Diceros bicornis minor: one gene and its partners. The protein of the gene in region 2 purifies or fractionates together with the protein of the main gene of each other region. This does not show direct contact. Links are inferred from orthologs where the notes say so. Each region holds a gene or a part of one and is shown on either strand. Other genes may lie near its edges. The genes, in order: CDH1, SRC, PDGFRB and CDCP1.

The links.
Region 1: the proteins of SRC (region 2) and CDH1 purify together in Homo sapiens (affinity purification with western blotting; 5 studies listed by BioGRID and IntAct, with this or other methods). This does not show direct contact. The link is inferred for Diceros bicornis minor from reciprocal best matches to the Homo sapiens genes SRC and CDH1.
Region 3: the proteins of SRC (region 2) and PDGFRB purify together in Homo sapiens (affinity purification with western blotting; 4 studies listed by BioGRID and IntAct, with this or other methods). This does not show direct contact. The link is inferred for Diceros bicornis minor from reciprocal best matches to the Homo sapiens genes SRC and PDGFRB.
Region 4: the proteins of SRC (region 2) and CDCP1 purify together in Homo sapiens (co-immunoprecipitation; 4 studies listed by BioGRID and IntAct, with this or other methods). This does not show direct contact. The link is inferred for Diceros bicornis minor from reciprocal best matches to the Homo sapiens genes SRC and CDCP1.

Annotation. Positions count from the first base shown.
Region 1 is NC_080771.1:20,367,031-20,374,898, reverse strand, and holds the start of CDH1 (cadherin-1), read right to left. Parts: upstream 3,014-7,868; 5' UTR 2,922-3,013; coding exon 2,868-2,921; intron 2,004-2,867; coding exon 1,889-2,003; intron 1-1,888.
Region 2 is NC_080758.1:22,736,480-22,743,402, reverse strand, and holds the start of SRC (proto-oncogene tyrosine-protein kinase Src), read left to right. Parts: upstream 1-3,916; 5' UTR 3,917-4,097; intron 4,098-6,923. UniProt on the Homo sapiens protein: Non-receptor protein tyrosine kinase which is activated following engagement of many different classes of cellular receptors including immune response receptors, integrins and other adhesion receptors, receptor protein tyrosine kinases, G protein-coupled receptors as well as cytokine receptors.
Region 3 is NC_080740.1:67,175,202-67,183,182, reverse strand, and holds the start of PDGFRB (platelet-derived growth factor receptor beta), read left to right. Parts: upstream 1-4,976; 5' UTR 4,977-5,389; intron 5,390-7,981. UniProt on the Homo sapiens protein: Tyrosine-protein kinase that acts as a cell-surface receptor for homodimeric PDGFB and PDGFD and for heterodimers formed by PDGFA and PDGFB, and plays an essential role in the regulation of embryonic development, cell proliferation, survival, differentiation, chemotaxis and migration.
Region 4 is NC_080741.1:46,819,712-46,827,553, reverse strand, and holds the start of CDCP1 (CUB domain-containing protein 1), read left to right. Parts: upstream 1-4,841; 5' UTR 4,842-4,934; coding exon 4,935-5,016; intron 5,017-7,842. UniProt on the Homo sapiens protein: May be involved in cell adhesion and cell matrix association. May play a role in the regulation of anchorage versus migration or proliferation versus differentiation via its phosphorylation.

The DNA of each region.
Region 1 (7,868 bases), on a different chromosome or scaffold from region 2:
CCTGCTCTGGGGGTCCTGCTCTATCAACACCTCTCCTCTCCCAGGCACACAGGGACCACGACGTCTACTTCACAATGGACACCAATTCCCCAAACACCCTGTTTTCTTGATTGATTATTGAATTATTGAGAAGCGGAGAGAACAGGAGAAGGACCAGCTGTGGATCCCTGAGCAGATTACTAAATTGCTTTATGCTTCAGTTTCCCCACCCACAAAATAGAAATAATAAGGTTCTTGGGAAGATTAAATGAGGTAAAATATGTGAAACATTTTGCCCCAGAGTCTGGTTAAAAAGCAAATAATAGATGCCACTGCTAATAATAATGATAATATTTATATTATTACTAGCATGTAATAATGTTGTTAGCGGTCAGACATAAGAGCTTGGGGAGAGGAATAAAAACCAGACTAACCCTCCCTTGGCACTAGCAAATATCTTGGTGCAGGAAAACAAAATGACCAGCACTTGTGTTGGGACACCTCACACACAGGCACACACTCCCTTTCTAACCCTCACCTGCTCCTCAAGGCTGGGTCAGCTTTGCCTCCTCTCAGAAACCAGTCCTCACTGCCCACTGATACCCATCAAAACATCCCAGGCCACCCACACTCTTGGCACCTAAATGTTCACGTCCCACAGTGCCCTCTAAGTGGGTCCTGGGACACTCCCAGCAACCTGCTGGAATGTGAAATACCAAGAGCTGGGCTGGAGTGCCCCTGTATCTCCTCAGTTCATTCCCAGGTGCCCAGCACAGAGTCAGGCAGAATATCAAGCAGAGAACTGGCCAAGTAATGGCGGACTTACTGCAAAATCAGGCAGACAACACTTCCTACCTGACCCAATAGAAAGCTCTACACAACACAGACGGGCCTCAGAAAAGTAAATATGTTTAATCAATCAAGCTGCAGTTTCTGTTAAGAAAAAATCCCGCCCACTGTTGGAACAACTTCCAAAGTTCAAAAAAGAATTTCAGACAACAGCATGATTGCTGCAAATTTTTCACGTGGCCAAAGACTGGAGGAATAAACTCGGTGAATTCCCTCAGAGGAATTGTGGGTGATTTCTCATTTTAAAAAGTGTTTCTTTTACTGTTATGAAACTTGCCCAACCAACTAAAATCAAGAGGGAGGAGAAAGTCGCCTGGTAGGAAATAAGCACCTGGGAATCAGTGAAGCCAGAAGAGAAACTAACTTTCCCTTGCTCTCACTCCTGGGCCACTGAAAAGTGAAACAGAGCAAGCTCTCAAATCCTGATGATCACAGTGATAAGGCCCAGAATTACGTTGTGTGCGTTTTCATAACCTGAGTCAGAGCTACCAGGCTTTTTTTTTTTTTAAACCATTATTCCTTGAGGGAATAGTACCTGTATCAAAATGTTTTCATCTCTGTGAGTAATAGCCACAGCCTGGTAACCAAGAGAGGGATCCTCAGTCATCCCAGAGATGGTGCAGAATGGGGCCTGGGAGTCAGATCCTAGTTCAAATTCCTGTTCTGCTGACCCTGGGCAAGTGGACTCCACCCTCTGAGCCTCCATTTGCTCATCCGTAAAACAGGAATTACTGCTCCCTTCTCACACATCAGGTTTTTGCAGTCTGAAATGACAGACTGTCTCTAAAGTGGTCAGGACACTATGAGACACACTGAAGGCCTCTAATAAGTGCTCCCCCCCTTATAACATAACCATACGAGGATAGCCCCTCAACCACAGTGCTCAATCAGGGTAAAAGTTCAGATCCTTACATCTGTGTAAATTTCAAAGGGGTGTCATTTGAGCCAGAGAAGGAGGGCTTGCCCAGTTCAGTCTAGGGCCGTGGGAGCGCAATTTCTTGGACACTTTCCACTCCTACCCCAACCCACCCGGCTCAGCACACCGCCGGCGCGCCCTCACCTCTGCCCAGGACTCGGCCCGTCTCCAAGTGCCGCCGGGGCACCGTGAACGTGTAGCTCTGGGCACCAAAGCCGGGACGGCAGGGCTCCGGCTCCTGGCAGAGCCACGATGAGACCTGGGGTAGGGAAAAGGTATGGAACCGGGGTGAGTTGGGGGGTCCCTTCCTGCCCACATCGAAACCAACAGCGCCGCCCCTCCCTCGCTCCCGGCGTCAGGACTGTGGGAAGGACCCACCCCCGGGGCAGGCAGCCACGCCAAACTCTTTCATTCCGAAACCTGCGGCCGCCAGGACCCCAGGCCCTTCCAGGAGAGGGGGCTGCTGGTCACCTCCTCCCGACCTAGCACCTCTCCTGTCTCCTTTACAATTTCACGGAGGCATCTTTACTCTTCCCAACTCCACTTTCCTCATACCGGGAACGTTCTCACTCCTAAGTCTAGTTCCTCATACCGAGGGGCGCTCCAACCCCTTTGGACCCCACTTTCCTACCCCAGGGGCACCCCCATACCTACTTACTACCCTTTCTTTACATGGCAGGTGCCTTTATTATCTATTGGTTCCCTTTCCTTACCTCAGGGATCGAACCCACTACTCCTGGCTCCCCCTTGACTTGCGCCGGGGCTCCCCTTCCATATCCCTACCCCTACCCTGCTCCACAGCCCCCGCTGCCCGCTCCCCGCCACACCGCGGCGAACCGGAGTCCCAGCGCCTGCAGCGAGGCGCGCGCCCCCTCGGTGTCTGCGGGCTGGAGTGGGCAGAGCCGCGCTCGCCCTTCACCTGCTCCCACCCCCATCTCCCGGGAGTCCAGAGCGCGGCGCAGCTTCCAGGCCGTTTAGGCCCTTTGGACCCAAACTTTCTTAGTGGAAGAGGGAACGACGAGAGAGACGAAGGGACGACGAGAGAGGAGGGGAAGGGACGCGGGGCCGGGGCGCGGTTGGTGAGGCTGGAAGGCGTCTCCTGCAGTCCGGGGACCCGACGTACCTGCAGCAGCAGCAACAGTAGGAGCGCAGAGAGGCTGCGGCACGGAGGGCCCATGGTGGGCCGGGCGAGGGTCAGGTCGGCTCTGGCCAGGCTGGGCCGGGCTAGAATCTAGCAGGACTTCCGCGAACTCACAGGTGCTCCGCGACTCCCGACGCCACTGAGCCGGGCAGCGCCGCGGCCGCCAGGTGAGCCTCGAAGGCCCCGCCCCCAGCCCCGCTGATTGGCTGAAGGTGCACCTGCCGGCTGCAGCCAATAAACGGCCATGGCCTCAGCTTCCTCGACAGAGGGCGGACGGCCCGCCCACGATCCGCCCCCCTGCCTCGCGCCGACCCGGTGACTCGCTGGCCGGTGGTTGGCAGGGTCGAGGTAGGGTGTAGGGGCTCCCCGATTGCGATTACCACCAGGTTCGAATCCCAGCCTCGCGGTGGTTCACTAACACCCGGGGTCCGAAAGGACTTCCGCTTAATTGAGTTCTGTCTCTTTAACTGCAGGTCTCCATCGGTTAGTGAGTTTGCAAATCAGATCACTGGGTAGCACCCACCTTTTGAAGCCTCAGTTTCTCCACCTTCCAAATGAGAATAATAATCACAAACGCCTCCCTCTGTTGTTGTGAGGTTGCCACACAATTAATAAGACCAGTGTTTCCTGCAATATAAAAGCTCTGTATGGATGTGAGGGATAAAAATAGTAATAATAGGTGCTGGGGCATTGAAAGTTACAGTGCCAGGCTCTGTGCTAAGCATTTGACATTGACCATCTCAGTTAAACTCATCTCCAAACAACCCAAGGGCTTTGTTATTATTCCCTTTTGTTAGGCAACTAAGGCATAAAGAATTTGAGGCCTGGGAGTTGGCCCCGTGGCTTAGCGGTTGAGTGCGCCCGCTCCGCTACTGGCGGCCCTGGTTCGGATCCCGGGTGCGCACCGACGCACCGCTTCTCTGGCCATGCTGAGGCCACGTCCCACATACGGCAACCAGAAGGATGTGCAACTATGACATACAACTATCTACTGGGGCTTTGGGGAGAAAAAGGGAAAAAAAGGAGGAGGATTGGCAATAGATGTTAGCTCAGGGCTGGTCTTCCTCAGCAAAAAGAGGATTGGCATGGACATTAGCTCAGGGCTGATCTTCCTCAGGAAAAAAAAAAAAAGAATTTGAGGCCAGTAGGAGGTGGGGGGAGGACTGGAACTCATCTCCCTCTGATTCCAGAGCCCTTTGTTCTATTAGCTTCACCTCATGCGGCCTCAGATAGTCTTCCAGCTGGAGCTGCAGTTTTCAATCTGTTCTTTAATGAAGATCTGGAAGAGACCCTTTCGAGATCACCCAAACCTGTTCTTTGCAAATAACTCTTTCAATGTCACATGGAAGTCAACCTCAAAGCCAAGACTAGAACCTGAGATTCCTGATCCCCAGACTGGGGCTCCTAACACCACACCACAGCCACCACCACCCTCTCTAGAGAATTCTGTCCCCAGTAAAATAATTTTAGGATCAAAAAAGGAATAGACATGCAAATGTTAGGTTAGACAGTTTCCCTGTCTGACTGCCAGGGGCCAGCCCCTTCTTTGTGGTTGGCTACCCTGATAAGGACACCATCTTTCCCTTCCCCCTTCAAGCGTGATCAGAACTACAAAACAGTGTGTGGAGTCAGCTGCTCACTAGCTGTGTGACCTTGGGCTAGTCAGTGTTCTTACCTATATAAATGGGTTGATAGGAGCTAATGCAAGAAAATCACTAAACAGAGTAGTTGACGCCTACTAGCAACTGCTCAGTAAATGTTGTGGAGGTTGTTCTTTGGAAAGAACCACTGCCTTTCCTCCTTCCTCATGGGGAAGGCCATGTTTAGAATATTTCACCCAGAGCTAAAGGTGAGTCTGAGCCCATTGTGGCTACTTTCTCAACCCCAGAGGAAAGGCGTTGTCTCAAACCAAAACACTGTTTTGGGTCAGCCCCCTCCCACCCCCAACCTGTCCCCTCAGGCTTAATGGGTTTCTGAGCACATGCCCAGGCCATTTGATTTCTGCATCTTGGCTCTCTGTCTCTTAACCCACCAGGAGGCTCAGAGGGAAAAGGCTCCAGTATTTCCTTTCCCACTGAGGCTCCTGCCGGACTGTGCATTAAACAAGATAATGGAAATACAGAAAGAGGCGTCTCCCCCGTGGGGCTGCCTTGTCCGTTTATTTTTTCCTCCCAGTTATGTAAAAATACATATTTTATATCTTCGCTCAGCCCAGGGAGCCTTTAGGGCTTTGCTTTCCTCCCCCCAGCAAGCCCTGGCCTTGTAGCTCCGCGGCAACTTTCATCGACTCTTCCATTACACTCTGATAACTCAATAAGAAGGATTTTAGAAAACAATTAGGGGCAGTGAGGACAGGTCCGGCACAATGCTCTCTCCAGACTTCTCGGCAAGTCCTTCTCCAAGCTGCAGGGAGTGGATCGTGAAGGCCTGCCCGCTCAGGGCCGGTCTTCCTCAGCAAAAAGAGGAGGATTGGCATGGATGTTAGCTCAGAGCTGATCTTCCTCACACAAAAAAATAAAAAACATTGAAATTAATGCTTTAAATAGGTGAATTGTGTGGCTTATGAATTTTGTCAGAATAAAACTGTTTTCTTTTTTAAGTGGGGGGCTGTCTCGCTAAGAGCAGGCTTAGTAGAGGGGTGACTTTTGTAGCCCTATACCTCCTACTGTTTTTGTTTGTTTCACACACAGAAAAATCTAGAGACCTCTCTTTTTTGTGTGTGTGAGGAAGACTGGCCCTGAGCTAACATCTGTGCCATCTTCCTCTATGTTATATGTGGGATGCCTGCCACAGCATGGCTTGATGAGCAGTGCCTAGTTCCACACCTGGGATCCAGGCCTGTGGGGAACCCTGGGCCGCCAAAGCAGACCGTGCAAACGTAACCAGTATGCTACTGGGCTGGACCCTCTAGAGACCTTTCTTCCATGCACATATATAATTTATAATCATAACGACAACAACAACAATAATGGCTCTAATTTATGTAACACTCACTCTGTTCCAGGTGCTAGACCCAGGCACTTTTCCTTTTGTTAACTCACGCACCTCTATGAGGAAGATACTGTCCTGTCCCCTCTTGAGGAAACCGAGAGGTGAAGTGGTCTTCCACAGCCAGTAAGTGGCAGAGCTGTGGCAAACCCACTGTGTGCCAGGCCCTGTGCTCAGTACCTGCAACAGAGAAATCAGTCCTGAAGGCCACCGCTCCCTCCACTGTCCAAGAAGAATGACCTAACCAACCCAGTGCTAGGATGACCAACTGTCCCGTCTGCCCAGGACAGAGAGGGGTCCTGGAGTGTGGGACTTTAGTGCTAAACCTGGAAAGTTCTGGGTAAACCAGGACTAGTTAGTGAGCACTGATTGACTGTCCATTCCTGTGTGTGTGTTGTACACGCGTGTGCTCGCCTACTCACCGGCTCATGAAAGGGGTGCGTCTTGGTCTTTCCAGGTTCCACACTTCTCAAGTTTTGCAGGAGGGAAAGGTGAAGCTGGCCGTGCTGGAGCCAGACTGGGGCAGGTGGAGGGAGCTTCCACAGGCAGGGGTGGAGACCTGCGGAGCCATAAAACCTGGGCAAAGTGCAAGGTTTCCATTGCAGGCCTGGAAGAAAACTCCAGAGTCCAGACCGAGGATGTGGGGCCCATCATTTTCTAGAGTGACTCTCCAACTTTTCAGGACACACTCATTCATTCACTCACTCATCCATTCATTCATTCAGTAAACCCTCATTGCACCTAGCACATGCCAAGCGCTTTGCTGGTGAGGGAGGCCCTCCCTGCCCTCAAGGAGCTTTCAGTCTGGTGAATAAACAGACAAGGGAACCAGGTATTTATGATCCAGGGCAATAAGCAACAATGATATTCATATTTAACAACTGGTAGAACCCGGGCACCAGGCCAACCAAAATGAACACCAGCCGTGAATGCTGGGGTGGGGGTGGGGGTGGGGGTGGAGTCCCAGGCCCCCTGCTGTGCCAGGCTTTACCCTCTGGTTGCTGGGTGGTGGGGAGATCTGGAGGGGTGTGGGAGGGGCTGCAGGTGTGGGGAGCACTCTGAGAGACTGAGGGAAGTCGCTGATTCCCAAATGATGTGGAAAAATTTCAACACAATATTTCAGCAACTAGAACCTAGAGTGATATCAGTGACCCTGGTTGGAGACCAGCCCTAGTGATAATGATTTAAGATCAACAAGGCAAGTGATGTGGAGGCGCAAGGGGCTCAGAGAGGGCTTCTTGGGGGAAGTGACATCTAGGTTGAGTTAGCCAGAGTGTTCCTGGCAGAGGTTACCACCTGGGGAAAAGCCCAGAGAAGAGGGCTTAGCACTTTAGGTAGTTCAGTCTAGCTGGAGGAGAGGCAGGTTAGACCCAACAGGTGAGGAGAGTGTTGCGGGGGGCTGTGTTAATCATGGTCATCAGCTTGGACTGTGTCCTCAGAGCAATGGGGAACCATTGCAGGATTTTAATTAAGATCAGGGGAGTCACGTGATCCAGTTTGCAAATCCCCCGGGAGACACCAGGAATCCACTTTTCCGAAGACAAGAACCAAGTTTCAGGGAGGTTCAAACACCTGTCAGATGTCACGCAGCAGGTTGGACATGGCATAAATGGAACTGCTCCCTTCTAGATCACCTTCTCCATTGAATACCACGTGCAACAGAGGCTGCCCACTTGTATATGGAGCTTTAGAGTTTGCAAAGCACTTTACAGATTACAAAGCACTTTCCCATCCATGCTCATTTGATTTCCCACCAAAACGTTTTATAGGCAGTGATGCCATTTCTATTTCTCAGTTGAAGGGACTGAAATACAGGGAAGGTTTCAAGATCTAATAAATAGTGGAACCTTAAGTCAAATCCAAGCCTTAAGACTCCCCACCCAGTGCTCTTTCCCCTGTAACATGCTGTGTCTCGGCATTTATATTGGTCACTTTGGGTTGTAAATGTCAGAAACACAAGTGCCTAGGCAGAAAAAGGAAATCTGGGGGCTCATG
Region 2 (6,923 bases):
CATGCTGTTCCCTCTGCCTGGAATACCCTCTCTGTCCCATTTTCACCTGCCAGCATCCCCGCAGTCTTCTACACTCTCCGTAGACGACCTCCTTCCTTCACCAGCCCCTTTCTCCAACACACATAGTGAATTAGGGCCCCTCCAGTCCCCGGTGCTGGCCCCATCACTCTGCCTAGCACACTGGTCACACTTCCCTGCTCCTCCAGGCTGCGAGCAATTCTAAGGCAGAGACCAGACCTGGTTTGTTCACTGCTGTCCCCCTAGCACCTAGCCCAGACCCTAGCACATAGTAGATGCTCAGTAAATACTGACTGACCCGAGAAAGGAAGAGTAAGGCTTAGCCAGGGGCTGTGGGGTAGACAGCATCCACGCAGAGGGACCAGCAAGTGCAGAGGCCTCTGGGCGGGAATGAGCTGCTGTGACGGAGGGACAGCAAGGATGCGGGCTTGACAAGGAGGGAAGGGGACCAGGGCCTGCAAGACAGGCCTGAGCAGCTGGCAAGGGCCAGATCGGGCTGATGCACTGAGGAACTGGACGTCTCTGTGTAAACTGTAAAGTGCAGTGCCACGGGAGGTGCCAAGCCCATTCCACAGCCTCAAGCTGGAGCCTGCCCCCTCTTCCACCTCATCCTGTAGCCCGAAGTCCAGATCATTCTGTGGCTTCGAATAGACAACTCACAGCAAACCATCTGGTGAATGACAGAGCTGGTCTGGAATTTCCCGCTGGGTGCCTGTGATGGGTCCAGCTCCTCCAAGGTGAGCTGGGCTCAGGGTGGGGTTAGCAAATAGGCCACCATCGAGCCAGAGCCACCAGGGCCCAGGGGTGCGGTGCGGGCAGTGCCTCTGATCCTAGTTCATGGGAAAGCTCTCACCTGTGGGTCTGCTGCCAGTCTTGAGGGGCCAGGCCTCGCCCCACATGCTCCATCCTGCCCTTAGTTGTGGCTTTGACCCAGGTGGGGGGAAGGAGGGAAGAAGAGGTTTCTGGAGACAGACATCTGTGTACAACCAGTGCTCACCATCTCAGCAATGTTGACATCAATAACATCTGTCACCTGTGGGTGCTTTGGGTTGGGAAATTGTGCTTCTCAGTCTTCCAGGCCTGAGACAGGGCTGTGTATACCGTCGGTGGTCAATAAGTTGCTTCCATTAACGACGATGAATGATTTGCAGGCATTAAGCAATGAGTTGCTATTTTACTAACAAACAATGTTTTAAGCAAAATAATGCACAGAGTCCCTTACTTACCCACCGGGCCAGACCAGCAACTCTCGCATCGACATCATCCTGGAGGTTGGTGGGGTTGTGGCCCCACTTTATTGATGAGTAAATTGAGGCTCAGAGAGGGCAGGGTCACACAGTCAATGAACGGAAGAGTTGGAACTTGAACTCTTGTATGTGGATCCCTAATCAGTGTGTTCTCCCCAGCCGACTGGGCAGTGTCTGCTCTGTGCTGGGCACGGGCCAGGCCACAGTCCCTGCCCTAAGGGTGGGGACTGACACACCCTGAAGGGACTTGGGGTGTGCCTCATCAGGAGTTTGTCAGGAAGCATGTCCTGGAGGTGGTGGAATTTACTCAGGGACCTGATGGCCACAGAAGGTTGGGAAGCTAGAGATACGGTGGGAGTTACAGCCTGAGCAATGGCCCAGAGGGGTGGCTGAAAATAACAAACGTTCCCAACCATCGTGCTGGCCACGTCTCCCTGAAGTGCTCGCTGAGAACCTCAGCGGCTAAGCCAAGCCCTCGAAGCCAGTGGTGGCTCCAGGGGGAAGGCTGCACCTTCCAGAGCCAAGACTTGTCCCCGTCGTCCCTGCTCCTCCAAGAGAATGTGTAGGGTACGGATAGTGAGGCCCACACGTGCTGAGCTGGCAGCACCTCATTTCATCCTCATGGGAGCCCTCTGACGGAAGTGCTGTCTTTAGCCCATTTTGCAGGTTGGCAGGCCGAGGCTCAGAGAAATGGCATGCTCAAGGTCACATATCCATGAAGTGGCAGAGATGGGACTTAACCCAGGTCTGTGGGTCCAAAGTCTGTGCTTTTAAGCTCTTTGTCATCCCAGCTCTAGACGTGGCCCAGAACTTTCAGTTGAACTCCTGGGGATGAATCTGGTGATGTGCTGGTAAATATTTAAAAGCCAGCTCTTTGGAAGGAAAAAAAGCCTTGATTTGTAGTGTTTGCTGATTTCCAAGGTGTAAATACTCCTACAGTGGCTGATGTCAAGTTATCAAAGTGACATCATTGATCCGAGAGTTGAGGAGAGATGAACACAGTCTGCTCTTGCAAGTGGTAACAGCCAGCCCCAGCACACCCCTGGGTGAGCAGCCCACCCGGCCCAGTGTGGCCAGGAAAGGCCTTCAGACACGTGTGAGGAGTGAGCGAGGGCTGAGAAATCCGCTCCTCCAGCCTGGGAAGCCATGGTTAATCTTTAAGCCAGCCTTGCCAACAAGTGCAGCCATTTCCCCAGCCCAGGCTGGCTTCTGGTGCTGGCTCTGCCGCTGACTTGCTGTGGGGCTTCAAGCTGCCCCTTCTCCCTCCGGCCTCAGTTTACCACCCGTAAGAGCTACCATTTGTTGGGCACAACCTCAGCCACCCTCACACTTGTCGGGTTTAACCTTCCCAGGAGTCCTCTGTGGCTTGTTCACTCTGTTTCATAGGCAAGGGGACTGGGCTGGGGAAATTGATGGACTCGTACGAGGTGCAGCAGGGGGGCAGCTGGCCTAGATTAGAACCAGATCAGTCCGGCTCAAGGCGGTGCTCACTCCTGGACTCCTGCACGCTGTATTGTACCCTGAGCCTTTGCCTCCCACATTCTAGGGTTCCCCTCCCAGCTCCTCTCAGGAGGAGAAGCCCAGCCTTGTGCCATTTGGCCTGGTTGGGCCTCAGTTTCCCATCTGTGAAATGGAAGAATTTCAGAGAAGGAAAGTGGAGGCAGGTGGTGGTATTTAAAGCTGGATTCAGGCCCACCTTCCCCTGTGCCATAATTCCAGGAGGACAGGTGAAAAGCCAAGGGTGGGGTGCCCGCCCCCAACAGGGCAGCCCCGGAGCCTGGGCCTGGAGGTGGTGGGGTAAGGTGGGGTCAGACAGTGGTGGAGGAGGCTTTGTGGCCTACAGCAGCATTTCCTCCAGGTCATCCCCTTTCTCTGCTATACTCCCTCGCCCCCGCGTCCAGATGTGCTTCGCCTCTTTATTTATATACTTGGAAGTGTAATTGTCACCGAATACCTGCTGCAGTCCCCTCTGAGGCGGGAATATCTGGAACTCTATGACTTCTGATGGGCAGCCTTAGTTATGTGTTTTATACACATTGAAATGAACACATATCTTATTAAAATAAATATTGCTCCTCTCCACATGGTCCCTCCTGCCCCAGTCCCCACTTTGTGAAACTCAGGTCAAGGCCAGAGTCCAAAGCCTGTTTCTTGTAGGTAACCCCTTTCTCTGTGCCACAGTTTCCCAATCTGTAAAATGGAGATAACCATCTGGCCAGCCCAGCTGCTTGTTTGGAATAGATCTTAAAAGTCGACCTGAGCCACTTAGCATGGCGCCTGGCAAGGAGTGAGCGCTCCGTTAGTGCTGGTGTTATTATTATTACTACTACTAATTGCAGGAGAGGTGGATTTGGGGTAAATAGGGTAGGTGGGTTGGGGGGAGTTAGGGAGGGCATTTTGGTTTGAGGGCGGATCGGGGGTCCGCAGGGTGGGGTGCTCTCACGGGGCGGGGTTTCTGTGCCCCAAGCCTCCGCACCCCATCCCCCGCCCCGCCCGGACGCTGGCTCGAGTGTGGGGGGGCCCGCACACGGGTCTCCTCCCGGTCACCGGCGGGGAATTCGTCCCCGCGCGCTTCCTCCTTCCTCCTCCTCCCGGAGGCCTGCCGTGCCCCTCCTCCCGGCGCGCGCGCTCCCTCCCTCCTCTTCCCCTCCCCGGGCCGCCGCCTCCTCCTCCTCCTCCCTTTCTCTCTCGATCTGTCTTTCCCGGCCCGGAATCCATTCCGGCCTGGGAGCCGGAGCGGCCAGGCCGCCGTCTGCCAGACCCCCTGGCCGTCCGGCGGGCCGCCCTCCCGTGCGTCTGTCTGCCGGTGCGCCCGCCCGCCCGTCGGCCCAGGTGAGCGCCCCCCGCCCCTCCGCGGGCGCCGAGTCCCCGCCGGCCTGGGGGAGCCCCCGCGCGGGGCCCCCCCCCCCCGGCCTCGGATCGCCGGGCCGCGGGGGCTCCGTGCACCCTCCGACCCGCACCCCCGGCCGAGCCGCGAGCCCGGAGCGCTGGGCGGGCGCACGGGGACGTGCCCGGCGCGGCCTTTTGTTGTGATGCCGCGGGAGGAGGGGGCTGGGCGGGGGCGCAGGGGTCTGTCGGCGCGGGGACCCCCTCCGGCTCACCCTCCCGCTGCGAGCCCCCTGAGAAGCAGCGAGCCGGGCCCGAGCCCCCGGCCAGCACTAGGCCAAATCTGATATCTGAGCCGGTCGGCGCCGCCTCTGGCCGCGGCTGCCCGGCCTGGCGCCCCGGCCCGGCATGGGAGGTGGAGGGGGGCCGACAGGGTGGGTCTGGGGGTACCTGGCTGGGGGCGCCCGGCCAGGCACCAGGCCCACCCTGTCCTCGTGGGGCTTCGACTAGGGCCTGGTGCCGCCGGCCTGGAAGGGACTGGGCCAGACGCTGCATGGTCCCCGCTGCCTACAGCCCCCAGCCTCGCTTCTGGGCAGGCCCAGCCGCCTGCCTGCTCAGAAGTTGGCAAAAGTTTTGGGCCCTCACCACCAAGCCCGGTCCATCTGCCTGCCTGGGCTGGGGTTGCAGTGGGTTTGAATCTCAACAGGACCACCACTTGCCCTGCTGTGTGTCCTCGGACAACTGCCTGCTCTCTCTGAGCTGGAGGTCCTCATCAGTGGCAGGTGGGCCTGGCTGGGATTACTGGGCTGGTGGAAGGATGGGCATGAAGAGAAAGGGCTCACCTGTGGGGTACCAGTTCAGCCTCTGGGGTCTCCAGGCTGACTTGAGAGTGGACAGACCATGTGTGTGTGGGCCTGGGTGAGAGCCTCAGGGACTCTGTACAATGGGGGCAGTGGTCCCTGTGTCCCCTGGGGGGAGGCCAGGCCCAGCCACAGTGCAGCTGAGGTCAGACTTGGTTTCAGTGGGCCAGGCTGGCTCTGTAGCTGACCCTCTTCTCAGCCCTCTGGCTGGGGAGACAGGACACCTAGGCTTCTCGTCTCACTGGGCGACCTGGGCCAAGGGACTGCCCTCTGAGTCTGCATATGTGGAATGGGAATCCTCAGGGGAGGAATCTGTGTGTTTTGGCTTGGTATGTAGTAGGTGCTCAATAAATGAGCGCTTCCCTGGATGAATTGCCTGAACGGGTGGAGGCGAGGTTGCTGGCCTAGTGGGGCTCATCTCCAGGAGAGGGTGGATTTGTGCCTGAAAAGCCGCCTCTTGAGAAAGAATAACCCCTTGAGAAAGAGACCACGCTGGCACAGGCCTGCCACCCAGCAGCTGTGTGAGCTCAGGCAGCTCACTGTTCCCTCTGGCCTTCGTTTCGTTAAGTGTAAAATGGGCCCGTGGTAATGACAGCTGCTGACCTCTACTGAGCGCCTCCTCTGAGGTAGGGGCTCTTGTTTATCCTCATTTTGCTGATGGAGAAACTGAGGCACAGAGAGGTGAAGTGACTGCCCCGAGGCCACACAGTTTGAAGCTGGAATCAGAACCTGGACCTTGGAGCCCCCCGTCTGGCTGCCCTCGACCCCTTCCAGGGGTGATAGAGGAGCAGGCGTTTCTCAGGACAAGACCAGGCACACGGCAGTGTCGGAAAAGACTACCCCGATGAGTGATCGCGTGGAGCCACGAGGCCCATTTGGTGAGATGGTGATGTGGTCTTTCCACCCAAGGAAGTGATTTACAGTGTGTCACCTCTCTCAGCTGACTGCCTGCCCAGGCCCTCCTGTGTGGCCCCTGGGCCTTTGCTCCTGAAGATGTCCCTGCCGGAGTGTCCTCTCATGTAGGAGCTGCTTATCTGCTCTTGTTCTTTAAGATTTAGTTTAAGGCCCACCTCTTCCAGGAAGGCCCCCCAGCTCTCTCCTCCTCTCCCCTAGCCTCTTCCTGGAGCATGAATTATCCCCAGCTCACAGCCAGTTTCTGCTTTTGCTTCTTCCCTGATGGTGACCTCGGGGGCCAGGGGTTGTCTGGCTCCTCCAAGCCCCAGGATCCAGGGAGGAGATGGCTCCATGACATGCCGACAGAACCCCCAACCCCCTGGTCCTCAATTGACCCCATTTCCCCAAACCTGCCTAAATGCAAGCCTCCGTGACCTTGTATTGAGCACTTACTGTGTCCTAGGAGCTTTGAACTCAGGCCAGCAGTGTGGTGATGGGGTGAGCAGTGGGAGCTGTGGGGAGGCATCCGGAGGCTTCCAGGAGGTGGTGCTGAGGGGGGGCAGCAGTTTGCTCAACAAAGGAGGGACGAGAGTGCTCTCTCTTCCCTTCTGTTCAGACACTTCCCTGGGGTTGTGGGGAGTGGTCAGCCTGGGTGGGTCCTTGCAGAGGAATGGTGAACGTCCCTGGCCTTCCAGAAGTTTGAGTCTAGAGGGTGAGCCAAGTAGCAAACAAGTTGCCAAATAAATGAATATATAATCGCAGATGTGATAAGGGCTCAGAGGGAGAGGCGTGGGATGCAGAGGAATCTTGAAGGAAGCACGTAGGAGTTGGCCAGGCATGGAGCTAGGGGCAGGGCTTACCAGGCAGAGGGGATGGCATGTGCAAAGGCCCTGAGGTGGGGAGTGTGTGCTGTTGTGGAGGAACAATGGGAAAGCCTGTGAATCTGGAGCACAGAGAATTAGGGGGAGGGGGTGAGAGGTGAAATGAGGGGTGTTCACAGCAGGGCTGGACCCTGTGGGCTGTGTGGGCCTTGGGGAGGAGTTTGGCCTTCATCTTCACACAAGGGGCTGATTAGTGT
Region 3 (7,981 bases), on a different chromosome or scaffold from region 2:
TCCCTGTTGGATGCGTTCTGCAGCTTCTCGGATGGATGGGGGGTGGGGAGGGCAGTCGGCCATGGTCTACTACAACAGCCTCCATATTCGCCCCCTGCCTCTCCTCATGCCCCCATTAGCCATCCTCCACAGTGCCCCACAGTGATCTGATCTCATCAGTCTCCTGCTTAAAATCCTTCAGTTCCCCCGCCCCCCTGACCCTCAGGATAAAAGCCAGAGTCCTCTCAGGCCCACAAGGCCCTGATGCCTGGCCCCTGACTACCTCTCCAGCGTATATCCGACCAGTCCTCTCTCTGCACCTCAACCATTCTTTTCTTTCTCTTCAAACACACCAAGCTTTTGCACATGCTGTTCCCTCTGCCTAGAACACTGTTCCCGCCCCTGCATTGAGTGTGGCCTCTTAACCTCAGGTCTCAGCTGAAATATTTCTTCCCCAGAGAAGCCTTAATCTACCAAAACAAGAATCCTACCTACATAGCCCATTATTCTCTCTCTTTCATCACAATTTTATATTATTAATTTGTGGTTTCCTTGGTGTTTGCTTGTGAGCTGTATGAGGCCAGGGCACATAGTAGGTGCTTAGTTAACTTCTGTGTGGTGGCTACATGGTGGGAGGAGCAGGACAGCCTGGGAGTCAAAGTTAAAGGCCCCTTTCCAGACCTACTGTGTGCCCTCAAGCAGGTTCTGGCCTTCTCTGGGACCCACTGTGTCCAGTGAGGAGAAGATACGTGGCCTCTGGGGGCCCTGCTGTTCTGATGACCCTTGAGCCATCTGTGTGTACCAGAAGGACACACCCTTGTTCCCTGGGGCACTGAGACTGAGGCCAGCTGGAGGCTGGGGAGGGGCTGAGGCGGGCAGGGTCTTGAAGCCCTTATCTCCTGCGACCTTGTCAGGCCTTGGTGGCCTCGGTCTGGCCCAGTAAAAGCAGTCCTGCAATCTAGAGTGAGAATGTGGCCCGAAGCCCCCACTGGTCCCTCTGCCCAACCAGACAGCCACCATGCTGAATGTCCAGGAGGGGAAGGGGCAGTTCCCACTGCAGGCCCCTTCTGGCTCCCCAGATGCAGGCACAAGGTCCTACCTGCTCAGGGTGCGCAGAGTGGAAGGACACTGAGCTGGGGGTCAGGAGTCCTGCATTCCAGGCCCTTTCTCTCTCTGCTAACCTCTGACAGGTCTTCTCTGCTCTCTGAGCCTCAGTTTCTGTGCCTGTACAATGGACTCACTCCTAGGACTCATCTGGCCCTGACATCCAAGATGACTGTGCCGATGCCTGGGACGTGTGTGTTGCTTCGTCGCCCCAGGCCGGGCGGGGGGGAGGCGAGGCAGCGCTGGGAGCGTGGGAGAGCCAGATGTGGTAGCCGCTGGCCCTGCCTGAATGAGTGCTGAGCCAGCCTACTGGGAATTCTCCTACTCAGGCGCCCTTTCCGGACCCCCTCCCCCGCCCCACTGAGAGCTGTGGCTTCCGGCTCAGCTAGGCTCTGATGAGCTGAGCGTGGGTGGGGGTCTGTGGAGGGGGGCAGTTCAGCCTGGTTCCCTCCTCCAGGGAAGAACACGGGCCTAAGAGTCTGGACAAAGCCTCCGTTCCAGTCCTGGTCTTACATGTCACAAAGCCTGGTACAGTCACATTCCATCACAGGGCCTCAGTCATCTCAGCTGTAAAATGAGCTGTCGGAGGATCTTCCCTCCAGTCCTGATGGTGAACTTCTGTGACAGCAGCGCCCGGTGACACCTAAGAATCAGTCACCTTTCTTGGAGCTGTCTCGCTCTGCTCTAGTCCTTGTACAAAACACCTCCTGTGCATCACTTATTTGGGCCTCTCCAAACAACTCTGTGAAGGAGGCGGCTGTATCCCCATTTTACAGCTGAAAACACCGAGGCTCTTTGAGCTCGGATAATGTAATCTGTCCAGGGTCACACAGCTGGGAAGTGGCAGAGCTGGGTTGGAAGTGCTGACATCAAAGCTCAGACTCTTAATCCTTGAGCAGGCCACCACGCAGTGGGGAGGGGAAGTGCTGAACCCCACTGCCCAGAGCTGCTCTCTCCCTCTGCACCCCACCCCACTCTACCTCAGGCAGGACTCCCCATGCTCCACGCTCTGCCTGTCCAATCTCAGCCTAGCCTCCCCCAAGACAGGTGTGTCCGAGGCTGGCCTGGGCTCCCAGCATCTGGCCAGGTGGGAGACTGCTCACGGCTCATCCTGTCCACAGTGGGCTGGGGGCCATGCTGACCATGCCAGCCTGACGGGGCTGCACTGTCCACATGCACTGCCCACTGCCCACCCCTTCAGAGTGCACAGGGGAAACTGAGGTCCAGAGAAGGGAGAGCTCAGCCCAGGGGCACACAGTGACGGGTTGCAGCTGGTATGAGAGAAAATCACTATTTCAATAATAACACTTCCAGACACTGTACTAAGCCCTTTAAGTGCATTACAAATCACAACAGTCTTTCGAGTCATTCCTCAAATTATCTCCATTTTCCAGAAGAGGAAACTGAGGCTCAGGAGTTCAAGTGACTTGCCCAAGATCATGCAGCTTGAAACTGCAGAAGCTAGCATTTGAACCCAGCTCTGTCTCTGGCTCTGGAACCTGCCCTGTCAATCGTGACACTTCCGCCTCAACTGTCCAGCCCTCGGGGAGTGCCCTGTGGTGTCTCACGTGGCTCTGTGTCCCCCAACCCCATCTCAGCTGAGAAGAGCCTTAACAGCCCTGCTGCCTGCCAAGGGTTAATGGTGGTAGGGGCTAAGTGATTCCAGATGGGCCAGCCGGACGGCTGGGCTGGCCGGAAACTGGCGGCCGCCGGCTTCCCGGGGGAGCCACCGGCAGCCGCCCCCTCCCCTCTGTGCTGCATCTCTGGCCCCCAGCTGTCCCCTTGCCCTGGGGCCCACCAGCCTCCTCTCCCTAGCCAGAGTCCAACTCTAAGGAACTTGTAGACAGAGCATCCCGAGCGCCTTCCAGCTCAGTGAGTCCACCCCTGTTATGTACAGATGGGGAAACTGAGGCTCAGAGAGGACAAGATACCTATCCAAGACCAACCAACAAGTCCACAGCTGGGGTTCCTGACTCCCGGCCTAGCTTTCTTGGGGCTGCGGGTTGAGATGCCGCCTTGCTTCCCCTGAGTTGTCCTGGTCCCTGCAGTTGGGCCAAGGCTTTGGAGGTAAACGGCTGAGGCAAATGCTAGAAGGGGAGTTGTACAGACTGATGGAGTCTCTGGGCACAAGAAATCCCTGTGCAGGCCTGACCCTGTGGTCTCTGGAGTCCCCCTGTATTCCCCTCTGACCCAGCTGCCACCAAGCTGGGCCAGGCCCCCTCTCTTGGGAGGCTCTCACGGCCCCCACCCCATGGCCTGGAGCCAGTCTGAGAACCCTTCTCCCTCTGTGTGGCCCAGGCCAGATGCTCTGCTGGGCAGTCCCCACTGGGACAAGACCAAGAAATGACCACCAGATAGGTTCCTGTGGGTGGCATGAAATCCCAGCTCAAGCAAAGCCCCCGCCCCATGAACAGGAGCCCAGGGTGAGGCCTGGGAGAAGGGATAGACAGAGGTGCAGAGGGCAGGACAGAAGGAGCCCTGGACAGAGTCACGCTCTACCTGTGTGACCCGGGACACCTTTCTCCCCCTCTCTGGGACTCAATTTCCCCATGTGTGCAGTAGTGGGGGCAGGAGGTGACTGCCTAAGCCCTTTTAGTCAACTTCCTAAGCCCTTTTATAATGATGGCCTTCGCATCTAAGGGCCAGGAGATTGTGACTAGAGACAGCTTCTGATCTGAGGAAACGAGGGTAGAAGAAGCCAGGTCACGAGAGGCCCCGCCGACGTCCTGGAAGAGCCTTGCAGCCCCTAGTGGGGAGGAGGCCCGGAGGCTGGAAGTGGAACATAACAGGTACTCGAAAATATCTGTTGAGTGACTGAATGAGAAACGGGGACAGGGATAACCTAGGTAGAAGGTAGGACAGGAGTGCCAGTCTACACTGCAGTGTGGGTCAGGTCCCCGTGTCTGTTCCATCATGTAACTCGTGGGACCTGATTCTGCTCGAGTTCTGCCATTGCTGTGCGAGCTCATTTCACTCTGCTGGGCTTCACATTCCTCATCGATATATAAATGGGGAAGTAACCACAGCCCTACTCCAGGGCTTTGAGATGACAGAAAGGAATATGTCTGGAATCTGAAGTGTGCTGGGTGACCTTGGGCAAGTCTCTTTCCCTCTCTGCACCAAGTCACCCCTTGGCCTTGGTTTCTTCTTCTGAGAAGTGACCGATCATCTTGGAAGGTCTTTCCGTCTCTTCCAAGTCACCTCTTCTCAGGTGCCCTTTCTGATTCCCTCCAGCCTCAGTTAGGTGCCCCTCCAGATGCGCTCTGAGCCCCCCTGCCCTCCCTTGGGGTACCCAACTGTCCATTGTCTGTCTCTTTCACTAGCCTGGGCACCCCTGAGGTCAGGGACTGTGTCTTACTTACTACTGTGTCCCCATCACTCAGCGCAGTGTCTGGCACATCGTAGGCGATCGACATGCTTGTTCAATGAATGAGTGTTGACTGAATCAGCCGTATAGCTTATCAGAGCTCCCTTTGTAGATGGGGAAACTGAGGCACACAGAAAGGACTCGCCCCCAGGTGCCATGGCAAGGGGAGGCTGCCACCCGAGACAGGCATCAGGCGAGTGGGGCCGGGCCACTCTTTAATAAAAGTGACTCAGCGGCTGGCGTGGGCCGCGGAATTTCTAAACATCCCCTCACATCCTGAAGGAGCAGCGATGGGAGGGAGCAAGCAGAGGGAAAAGAGGAAGAAAAACAAGAAACTTGGGGAAAAGAAAGAGGGGGGAAAAAACTGAAATTGAAAACAGACGCACGCGTCCAACCTCCCCGCCCCACCGCCCCCCTTCTCCCAGCTGAGCCAATCAGAGGCCATCCTTCAGCCTTTCCCCCAAGGTGGGGGGGCAGGGAAGCCCACAGTGGTGTGAGCTCCTGGGGCTGCCAGCGGCCGCAGTCCCTGCCCGCCCCGTCTGGGACCCAGGATTGCTCTGTGAGCAACTTGGAGCCAGGGAGGAGGAGGAGGAGGACCAGGAGAGGGCCAGGCCCCTCTGACCAGCGCCCGGCAGCAGCCTTCGCCCTGCGACACAGACAGCCAGACCCAGGGCGGCCCCTCCTGGCAGCCCTGCTCCTCCCGAAGGATGCTTTGGGAGTGAGGCCACTCCTTACCCCTGTAGCCCCCCACTCCCTCCATTTTCCTGAGGCTCCGGGAGCCTGCAGCGGCCTTCCCTGCCCTCCTACCCAGCTGCGGCCCCCTTTCGGGTCCAGCAAAGTCTTTCTGATAAAGGGAGAGGGCCGTGAGGAGGACTTCCTGGAGGGGGTGACAGCCCAGAGCCCAGGACAGTGCCCATACCAGAAGGCATCAGCAGCAAGGTAAGTGCTGGGAGAGTGGGGAACCCCAACCCCTTGTCCTGTCCCCTGGCCCCAGCCTGCGCCTTCTTGAATAGGTCAAAAAATGGAAAATACTTTTAACAAAACCAGATGGGAGGAGGCCGGGAGGCTGCGGGCGACATCAGGGCTAGAGGAGCCAGTTCTTTCCTCTCTCTTGCTCAGGCTGCTTCTGGGGTGGGTGGCCCCGGCCTCCTCAACCTTGCTGCCCCCTGCCCTCACCAAACAAACCCCAGAGGTTTCCGGGTGTCGACTGGGGGCCTCCAAAGCACAGCACTGCCTGCGGGAGGTGGGGAGAGCTGGGAGGGGTATGAGAAGGGAATTGGGAGATGGCAAGCAGCGTACACAGAACGGGGACCTACCAAGGGACAGGACCTCAGAGGCATAGCCCCTGTCCATGGGCCCAAGTCTTGTCCCTAAGAATCTGTCTGGCTCTGGGCCAGTCGGCCGCCAGGCAACCTCTGGGGATTTAAAAGATTTGCAAATTTTCCAGATTCCTAAGATGTCCTTCAAACCCCCAGCGGCTGGGAAAGTGTGAAGGAGAGGGGGCCCTGGTGGTGGCAGGCCCATCCTAGCAGTTATGGTCATGCAGCCGGGGCTGGGGGTCTGGGGCCCGGCCATCAATCTGATGGCCCCTCTGTGGAGCAGCGGGGTCGGCTGCTGGCCCTTTCCTCTGGTCCCAGGCAGTGCTCAGGCCCCCTCTCTCTCTCCCTCCTGCCAGACACTGCCCCTTCTCCATCCTAAAACACGAATCTGATCACGATTCCTTCCGTGATTCTCCCCTGTAGAAAGCCCAAAGCCCTAACAGCGGCTGCCACTGATTGAGACTCACTGCCTGCCAGGGCTGCGCGGAGTGCTTTGTAAGCATGATCTCATGTAACGCTGGCCAGCAACTCCAGGGGCAGAGACTGATTTTACACACAAGGAAACTGAAGCTCACAGCGGCCACAAAACTGTAGCTAGTAAGTGGCAGAGCTCGGGGAGATAGTAAGCTCCGTGCCCCATCACTCCAAACTTGGGCCCTGTGTTCCTGCCAGTCAGATCCCAGGATTCCCAGAAGGAATTTGCAAGATCCTGCCTGTGGGCCTGCCCTTCCTCATCACTTCCACTTTTTCTTCAAGGACCCTCCCTTCTCCACCTCCTCCAGGCAGCTTCTCAGATGCTTCCAGTCTTCCAAGTGCTTGCTGTGCCCTTCGCACTGGAGCCTTGTTGCCTGGCCCTCTCTTCCTGTTTGTGTTCTGTTTTGCACATCGGAGATCATTCAGGACCCAGGCTTCCCCACCTGTATTCTGTCCCCAGTGTCCCTGGCAGGCAGTGGGGCTGAGAAAATGTGCTGTTGAAAGGGAGGAGGGACTCACTGAAGACCTCCTCTTCCCAGATGAGACCAGAGCCCAGGCCCCCTGTCTTCCCTCAGGTGCCCTTCCAGAACATCATGCAGCTCCTCCAGACTGCATTTTTCTCTGTCAGACAAGGAGGGGTGTCCCTGCCTGCCTCTGTGATTCCAAAGTGCACAGAGGCCTCTGCGAGCTCTTCTAAAGCCACAAGCAGGAGGGCCCTGAGTCCACAGCACTCGGGGACATGAGGACCATGCTGGTCACCGTCGTTGAGTGCTTACCCCATGCCAGGCTCAGGCCCTGTAATCCCCACAGCAGGTCTTTGGAATGGGTATTACTACCCCTGTTTGGCAGACAAGGAACCCGGGGCTGAGAGAGGCTAAGAGAATTTCCTAGGGTCACACAGTTAGTAGAGTTGGTGTTTAGGCCACGATCTGCCTGAATCCAAACACTTAACTCTCTCGCTACCCAGGGAGCTCCTGGTGAGAGGGGAGAGAGTCTCCATCCTCCCATGGAGCCTGCTCCTGGCTCCAGCACCTTCCATGGCGGAAAGTTCAGCTCCAGGCCTGACCTGCTCCCAGGTCCACCTGGGCCCTGGTTTGGTCCTGAGTGGGGAAGGAGACCATCTGGTCAGCACCCTCCCTTCAGCAGTGATCAGGCAGCGCTCCCTCCTCTGTGGGAAGAAGAGCTGCGACTTGTAATTGCCCACAGATGTGGGGCAGCGGAAAGCACCGTGGATTCAGAGTCAGGAGACCCGGCGCTCGCCCTGGCTCAGCTCAAATCCATGTGTGGCCAACCTCAGGCCCCCGTGTCCTCTTTTTGGGCTGCGTCTACATCTGGAAGGCAGTGGGCACCATGGGTAAACAACACCAGGTTTGGGCATCGGATGACCATGGATTTACCCCATTTGGCTTCTGGCTGACTGTGTGACTCTGGAGTTCAGTCCCCTCCTCTGTGAGCAGCAGGGCGGTATGTAGGCTCCAGGAGGTAACAGTATAGGTAAGGTACACAGTTCCTGCGCTTCACGGGGCTGGACCTAATGCCATTGGCTATGAGAGGGCTGCTGCTCTCCCCGCCTCCTGCACAGGACAACTTGGCTGTGAAATTAGTCTGCAACCCGCAGAGGGCTATCCCCATGGAAGGGACCTGGACAGCATGGGTATTCTAAAGGCCCACTTCCGTCCTCCAGGCACTGTCCGGCTCGGAGACCAGCTGCCTTCTGGGCAGAAGGAGGAGTCTCTGG
Region 4 (7,842 bases), on a different chromosome or scaffold from region 2:
AAAAGGAGCAAGGCCAGAAGTGGTATCACATTATGAACTTGTTCTGGAGTGCCCAACCGGAAGTGTGTGCACAGTGGAGGAGGAGGAATCAAGTCTGATTATACAGAGCCAGAAGCTAGTCTGTAGAAAATTCTTCCAATTAGCAAAACTAAAATTTTAAGCAGAACATTTGGTTCTCTTCATGCCTTATCAAAAATGAAGCATTTTTGGGCCGGCCCTGTGGCTTAGCGGTCAAGTGCGGGCGCTCCGCTGCTGGTGGCCTGGGTTCGGATCCCGAGCGCGCAGTGACACACCGCTTCTCCAGCCACGCTGAGGCTGCGTCCCACATACAGCAACTAGAAGGATGTGCAGCTATAACATACAACTATCTACTGGGGCTTTGGGGGAAAATTAAATAAATTAAAAAAAAATTTTTTTTAAATGAAGCATTTTTTTCTGTCAGAAATAAATGGATAACGCAGCATGTAAAATTATCAATGTACCATATTATTTTGTTCTTTGTATTTAATAGGAATCACACAAATAGAATTTGTAAGAATTCCTGTATTTGTAGGGCACGACACTACGGTGTTTCTATGAACAGCGAGTATTTCTGTGTGTGAATTCACAGTTTTATGCATCCCAACAAATCAAGATTGCATCTCAGCGTATCTGATGCATCTTGTCATGATGAAGTCTGGCAGTTCCAGAAGAAATAGCACACACATTGATGAAGCAAAATGACCCGAAGAAATGATAAAGAGCTGCACCAGTGAGTTAATAGTAAAGATATCATGCTATTTTTCTGGATTTTGTGACATTTTTCAATTTTTTCAAGTTTGTAATTTGTTGTGATTTCTTGCCCTATTCTGAATAAATAATCATTTTCATACCTGAATTTCTATCTGCAACTCTGTATTCTTTTTCTTAAGGTGATTAATTTCAGCCCCACAAACCTGTATCCACTCCTCTCTGTGTTTCACGCATTTCTTGTTTTAATGGAACACATCCTCCAGTATTTTCCTGAGAAAATGTGTGCAGGAATTTGTGGTTTTTGTTTTAGATCTTGGATGTCTAAAAGTACCCTTTTTCTACCTTATCACTTAAATGGTAGATTGGTTGGGTATAGAATTCTAAGTTGGATGTAATTTTCCTTCAGAATTTTGAAGATATTGCTTCATTGTCTTCCAGCTTCTAGTGTTGCTATTGACAAATCCAAAGCCATTTTGATTTTTGTTCCTTTGCATGAGACCCATGTCTTGCCTCTGGATGCTAAAGAATCTTCTCTTTGTTCATAGGTTTCTGAAATTTCACATCATGTGCCTCAATGTAAGCCTATTTTATCCACCGTGCCGGACACTCCATGAGTCTTGAAATCTGGAAACTCATGTCATTTGGGCCTGGGGAATTTCTTGAATTATATCACTGATGATGTCTTTCTGTTTCATCTGCTATCTCTTCTAGGAAACCCATTATTCAGATATTGGATCTCCTGAACTGGACCCCAATTTTCTTAACTTTTCTCTCCTATTTTTTATCTCTTTGTGTTTTTGCTTTACTTTCTGGGAAGTATTCCAACCCTTCTATATATATACATACATATTTTATATCTAGAAACATTTTTTAAACTTCCAAGAACTCTTTTGTGGTTCCTTGAATATTCATTTTTTATAACATCCTTTTCCCGTTTCATAGATGTAATATTGTCTGCTGTCTAAGGAAGTTAGTAATTGTTTTTTTTTTTTTGCTCTGTTTTGGTTTCTCCTGCTTATATTGTCTTTTTCCTCGAGGTTTCTTATTTCTGTCTAGTTAATTGGTTGATTTTGACTCTTCTCTGTTAGAAGCTTTCCTTAGAAGTCTTGAAATCCTGATTGTCTCGTCATATTCAAAAGTGAGAGATTAAAAAGCTGAGTTGGTGGGGCTTACCAACTGGGAGACTCATGGTAGGGATCTGGTTAGCCTGTTGATGGGGATAAATGTCTATATCTTTAGGTCTTTCCTCTTGGGCTGGTCAGATTCCCCAGAAGGAGATTCTTTCCAACTCCAGCACATATGGTAAAGCCTTCTCTGTTGCATTCCGAGAAGCAAGTTGGGGCAGGCAACTGAGGAGCTCAGCGTTCACAATGCCTATGTTCCCTTTATCTACTTATTTTTCAGGATGTTTCCAGGCACTTAACTGTGCCTGGCACTTCTCAGCCCAGATCCCTCGGTTTTAACCTCTCCAGAAAACAGCGCTTCAGACTTCTGCTGGAGTGAAGGAGGGGCAGTTCCCCAGCCAGGGGGAATGGAGGGAAGGTTCTAACAATAGTATTTTTAGATCTAACAATAGTATTTTTCAAACAGCTTTTTCCCAGGCTTCCTTGTTTTCACTTCTCCTTCACCCTCCTGTCTCAGAATATCTTGTGCTGCTAGTTCCTGAGGGTTATTTGTGTGTGTGTTGTTGTTGTTTTGTTGTTGTTTTTACAATTCCACAGTATAAATCATGCAATATCTCAATTTTCCCCACTCCTGGATTAGGGTTCTGCTGTCTCCAGGCTCCTAAGGCAGTTACCACTTGTCCACCTGCTTTCCAGCTTCCAAGAGGATTTTGCTGTTGTCTTCTCTCTGTTCTCCCCATCTTAGTACGCTTATGCCTTTTTTTTAAATCTCTGTTTTGTAGCTTTTGTAGGGTTTCTGGAGGGGTAAAAATTAGATGGAACAGTGTGTTTTAAAACTCACCCTTCAATCTGTCATTTTTCTCTGGCAACAGACTATAGCTGCCCGGATTTTTTCCACTTCAGAAATAACCTTTTAAAATTGACTCCTTCCATTCAGCCATGTTTGAAAGACGAAACACTTCCATACCTTGGCAATGCTTTGCTCACACTCGACTCCAAGAACCAAGACATTACCTCACGACATCTTGACTTCAACTGTGTAGCTGGGTTGTCATGCAAAGGATGCTGATATGCCTCCCTACTTTTTTCATTTCTTTCTCTTTGCTGCGTTGTCTGGGACCATCACCAATCCTTCACATTTGAGAATTTTTGACTCTCATGTCATTTACAGAAAGTTAGTTTCACAATCTCAGGGAGGCGAGTTAAGCAAACTTTGGAGAAATGAGACAGTAATAAAATAACTTGTTCCCTAGGCTTAAACCATCAAGCAGTATTTCTGATATTTTCAATTCAACACACTGCCACTCTATTATTATTATTATTATTATTATTATTATCATCATTATATGTGGGAAATAATCGTACTATGGATGCTAGGAAAAGATGTCGGCATATATATGCCCTCTTAGAACTAAGAAAACAGATGAAATCTGCTTTCACTCTCCTGGTAAGCGTAAACATTTTTAAAGGACGTTTAGATTTTCTCAAGATTTCTTTCTCTTAATGAATTTGCCTTCAATTCTGTGGGGAGAACAAAGAACCTCTCTATTTTTCTCATTCTCTTCCTTTCCCCTAGGCCTCAGTTTCTCCATCTATCTGTCTGATGAGGGAAGTAGGCTAGAAAATAAACTCTGAGGTCCCCTACAGCTCATAGTCCAAGCTTTCCCACAGGTAGAGATGTGGGTGGGGTCAGGACCCAGTATGGACATCTCTGTTTCCCTCACAGACTGTGGCCTCCCTGAGGGCAGAATTTGCTTTATTCTCATCCTCGAAGACACACAGAAGAAAGGGGATGAACCCCCTAAGAGAGGATTTCTCACGCCTGTTCATTCTGAGAGTAGGGGCAGCCTGGAGAGGCTCAGTGCTCCCAAGAATTAATCAGAAGTTGGGGCTGGACTGAAGACTGATGCCCTTGCATGTGCTCTGGTTCCTGTCCCAGTCCTCCTAGGTTGTTCTAGGTGACCCTGGCCCAGCCTCTGGCTGCGCACTGCACAGATAGCCCCAGGGGGCGCGTGGAGTCATTTTGGCAGAACCCTGGTCTGCCGGCTGAGAGTCCGTGAACCGTCCACTGCCTCTCCTCGTGGCCCTGTGACCCTGGACTTGGTGTGTGGCCTACAGGTGGAAGGAGAACCCACAGGACCCTGGAAGCCAGGGAAAGGCGGCACACCGCAGCTGGGAGGAGAGAAAGGAGCCTAGCGCCATTGTTTTTACAGCCCAACGATTGACGTGAATGCCTCCCGCCCATACGGCACATACTACTCCACTCACAATTCAAGAAGGGAGTCCTTGTGGACCTGTTTAGGTTTCTTCTCTCAGTCCTTTCCTGCCTTATGCGTTCATTCACTCACTCATCCCTTCTTCAAAAATTTAACAAAGCAACTCCATTTGTAGAAAACCCTTCCCGTGCTGCTAAATCCTATCTCTAAATTAACTCGCCTGGCAACCTTGGGCAGGTTGCGCAACTCAGCAAGTCTGTTTACAGTCATCTGTAACGTGGAAGGATTGCTGTGAGCATTAGGACTACTGCAGGTGAAGCGCCCGGAGCAGGCTGCAGGCTCACAGTCCTGCAAAGAGTAGCTGCAGCGCCTGCTTTCAAGTCCAGTGAGCCTCCCGCCCAACTCAGGTAGCAGAGAGAGCACAGACGAGGCAGCCAGGGCTTGGGTGATCCGCAAGTATGATTCCCGTGCAAAATGCGGCGCATAGGGGCCTCCTTTTCCTGGACGGGGAAAGGAAGGCGAATTGGCTTCCCCAGGGGCCTTCGAGCCTTTAGACAAGAAGACCGGATTACTCTCAGCCTGGTGAGGGAGGACAGGCCCAGGATGGTGTCAACAAGTCCCAGCACCCTGGCCGGGAGAGGCGGGTGCTGAAGCAGGAAGAGGAGGAGAGGGGAGGGGACAGGCCGGGCCAGCTCGTACTCCCGCGGCGCAGGGCGGAGCTCGGGCCGGTCCGCCCGCACACAGGTGAGCGAGCCGGGGAGGAGCGCAGCGCAGCCAGTGTCAGGCTTGGGCGCCCGTGGCCGCCGCTCCGTGCCACGGGCCACAGTCGCTTTCCCCGCCGAGGCCGAGGCGCCCCGGAGCCATGGCCCACCTGAACTGCGGGGTCACAATCGCACTGCTGGGGGTCCTGCTGCTGGGCGCCGCCTTCCTGCCGCTCGGAGTAGGTGAGTGCGGTGCTGCGGAAGCGGGTGGCGCCGAGTGGTCAAGATGGCCCGCGAGCCGGCGCCAGGCGGAGGGGTGGGGTAGGGACGCAAGGTGCGGAGGGTGCAGAGTGGGGGACGGCGGCGGCGCAGTCGGGATGACGGATGGCGCGGGGTCCCCGGGACCGCCCGGCTCCCGGGCGCGCCGCGTTAGGCGCAGTGGCCTTACCCTCCAGGATTCCGAGCGACCTCGCCGTGGGCGCAGGCTGCGGCACGCGGGAGTGTCCCCGAGCGGGGAGCCCCGTGGTCGGGGGGAATGAGCGCGGCGCCCACCGAGGAGGAGGAAACAGCGCGCCGAAACCGATCCTGCTCGAAGTGGCGCGCCGCGCACTCGGGGGCTTTACTTGGATTCTTGGGGGCCCCCGGGTAGGGCGTGGAGAGGGAACTTTCCTCTCTGGCCCACCCTGTACCTCCTCGCCTGGACCAGGGAGAAGGTGCCGGAAAATAGCGGTTTGGCGCCCCGATATCCCATCCCTTTTCTCCTGTCCGCACGCTCCATTCTCGCTCTCCTGAAATTCAGGGACATTAATTTGAAATTGAAAGCGCCAGGTAGGAGAAGGCCGCCGGGCATCTGCGCCGCGGAGCCTGTACATCCCCCCGCCCCTCGCATCTCTGTGCAGTGGACTTGGACGGCAGAAGCGGGTTGGCAGAGGCGGACGTTCTGTAGATGTGTGTGAATTTCGAGTTGTTCCGGTTGGGGGAGGGACAGCCACATCCCAGCTGCTTGTGTCTGCAAGGAGGTGCCCTGCGGGCCCTGCAAGTAATAGAACAGAGAAATAACCTGGTTTCTTCAAATAAGAACTTGATTCGAGGCCTTTCCTGAAACTAGCACAGGTTTTGTGTTTTTTTAAGAGCTATCCAGGAAGAGATTTGGGTCTTTGATTACCCTTTGCTACACCTAAGGGGACCTGTATTTGGCAGGTAGAGAAATTAGGATAAATTAAATTGAGGAATAAAACTAAGCGGGTGAGGTGAACTTGGGCAATCCAACAACTGCCATCATTACAAATCCGAGACAGGAAAGCTTCCTGGTTCCTTTCTCCAACAGCATCAGGTGACTTCTTGCTGCACAGTAGGTGGAACATTGCAAGACCTCATTTAAAATATTGTGTGCTTGGGGGCTGGCCCAGTGTCATAGCAGTTAAGTTCACAGGTTCTGATCCCGGGCACAGACTTACGCACCACCTATCAAGCCATGCTGTGGTGGTGTCCCACATAAAGTAGAGGAAGATGAGCATGGATGTTAGCCCAGGGCCAACCTTCCTCAGCAAAAAAAGAGGAGGATTGGCATGGGATGTTAGCTCAGGGCTAATCTTCCTCACAAAAAAAGAAAAAAATATATTGTGTGCATATTTATTGTAATTTAGGACTGAGTTTTCAAGATTCCCTTTGAAGGAAAAAATCAGTTTAAGAATAAAGAGTAATTTAGTTAATGAAAATGTGTGTAAATGTGTGTTTGAGAAAAATGTGTGCCCACCACACTTGGGAGCTATACTGGAACTCTGGGAATGTTTTCGATGTTTCCGGTTGTTTGTGATAATGGTTGAGAACTCTTCCAGTAAGAATATGGTGTAAATCAAGGCATTACGAATGACAGCAATGACAGCCTGTCCTGAACTGGCTTGTGTTACATGTCTGATTTCTCCCTGTGGCCTGAAGAGGCTGTCCTTTTGGTCTCCAGTAGCTCCAATGGAGTTCCTTCCTTCCAGGAAGTTCTTGACTGTCAGAGCTACGTCTCATGGTTCTGTGTATAAATAGGAGGAAGCCTAGGAATTCTCCTATTTCACGTTCTTAAATCCTTCCTATGGTCTCAGAAACTGGTCCTGTGAGGTCACATTGCCAGGCTGCACTGAGGGCTATGCCTTTGTGGTAGGAACTGTTGCCAAGTACATCTGCTTTGCCTAAAGTTGTGGGGTTGGTCTAACCAAGGGGGGCCTTTGAGAAGTTACTAGAGTCTGTCCTGAAAGGATAGAGAAAGCCAGAGAGAGCCCTGGCCCAGAGGATTTGTTTTATAATCCCTGAACTCTCTTAACAAAGGCTCGGCAGAGTGGAAATGAAGTTGGTGTCCCTGCAGAGCCGAGAGTAAAGGAAAGCTCCCATCTTGGCGTGGTGTGTTCGTGTGAGTTCATAGTTCCACCAGCTCCCCACTTCCAGGGGTGAAGGACTGGTGAAACTGGAAGCAGAGACTTGCTAAAACCTCAACCTAGTGGCTTTCCAAGGACCACTCAGATACCAGAGTCTGGGTCAGTGACCCCATTCTTGCTGCCATTGTTCTTGCCAGAAATGTGAGCAGACGTCAAAGGACGCGTTCACTCACCCTGGGTGACTGTTGCCTTCATCATTCTTCCGATTCAAATGAGGAGCTGCTGGCTGTTGTCTGGAATGTGTAACTGGCAGGGCTGATGATCCCTCTCCCTCCCCCACCCCCTCACAGATTTCTGACTTGGAGTCAGAGACGGCTGCTCTGCTGGTAATAGAGATGTGTTCGGGTGCCGGCTTGTCAGCCTCAGGATTCACCTCATATACTGCCGTACCATCTATGATGACTGTACAAACGCTCTTCTAGGAGTTCTCCCAGGCTTCAGTGTGGGGCAAGGAAGTTGAAAACAATAATTAAATTGTTTTAAGTAATATATAGTCGTAGAAAAATTGACAATAAATATAACCAAAATGGAAAACAGTCGCCTGTGAGCAAACCACCTTTGTCATTTTGCTGCACAGTCTTCTCATTGTATGTGTTTGTTGTGTGTGTGTTGTGTGTGTGTGTGTTGTGTGTGTGTGTTGTATGTG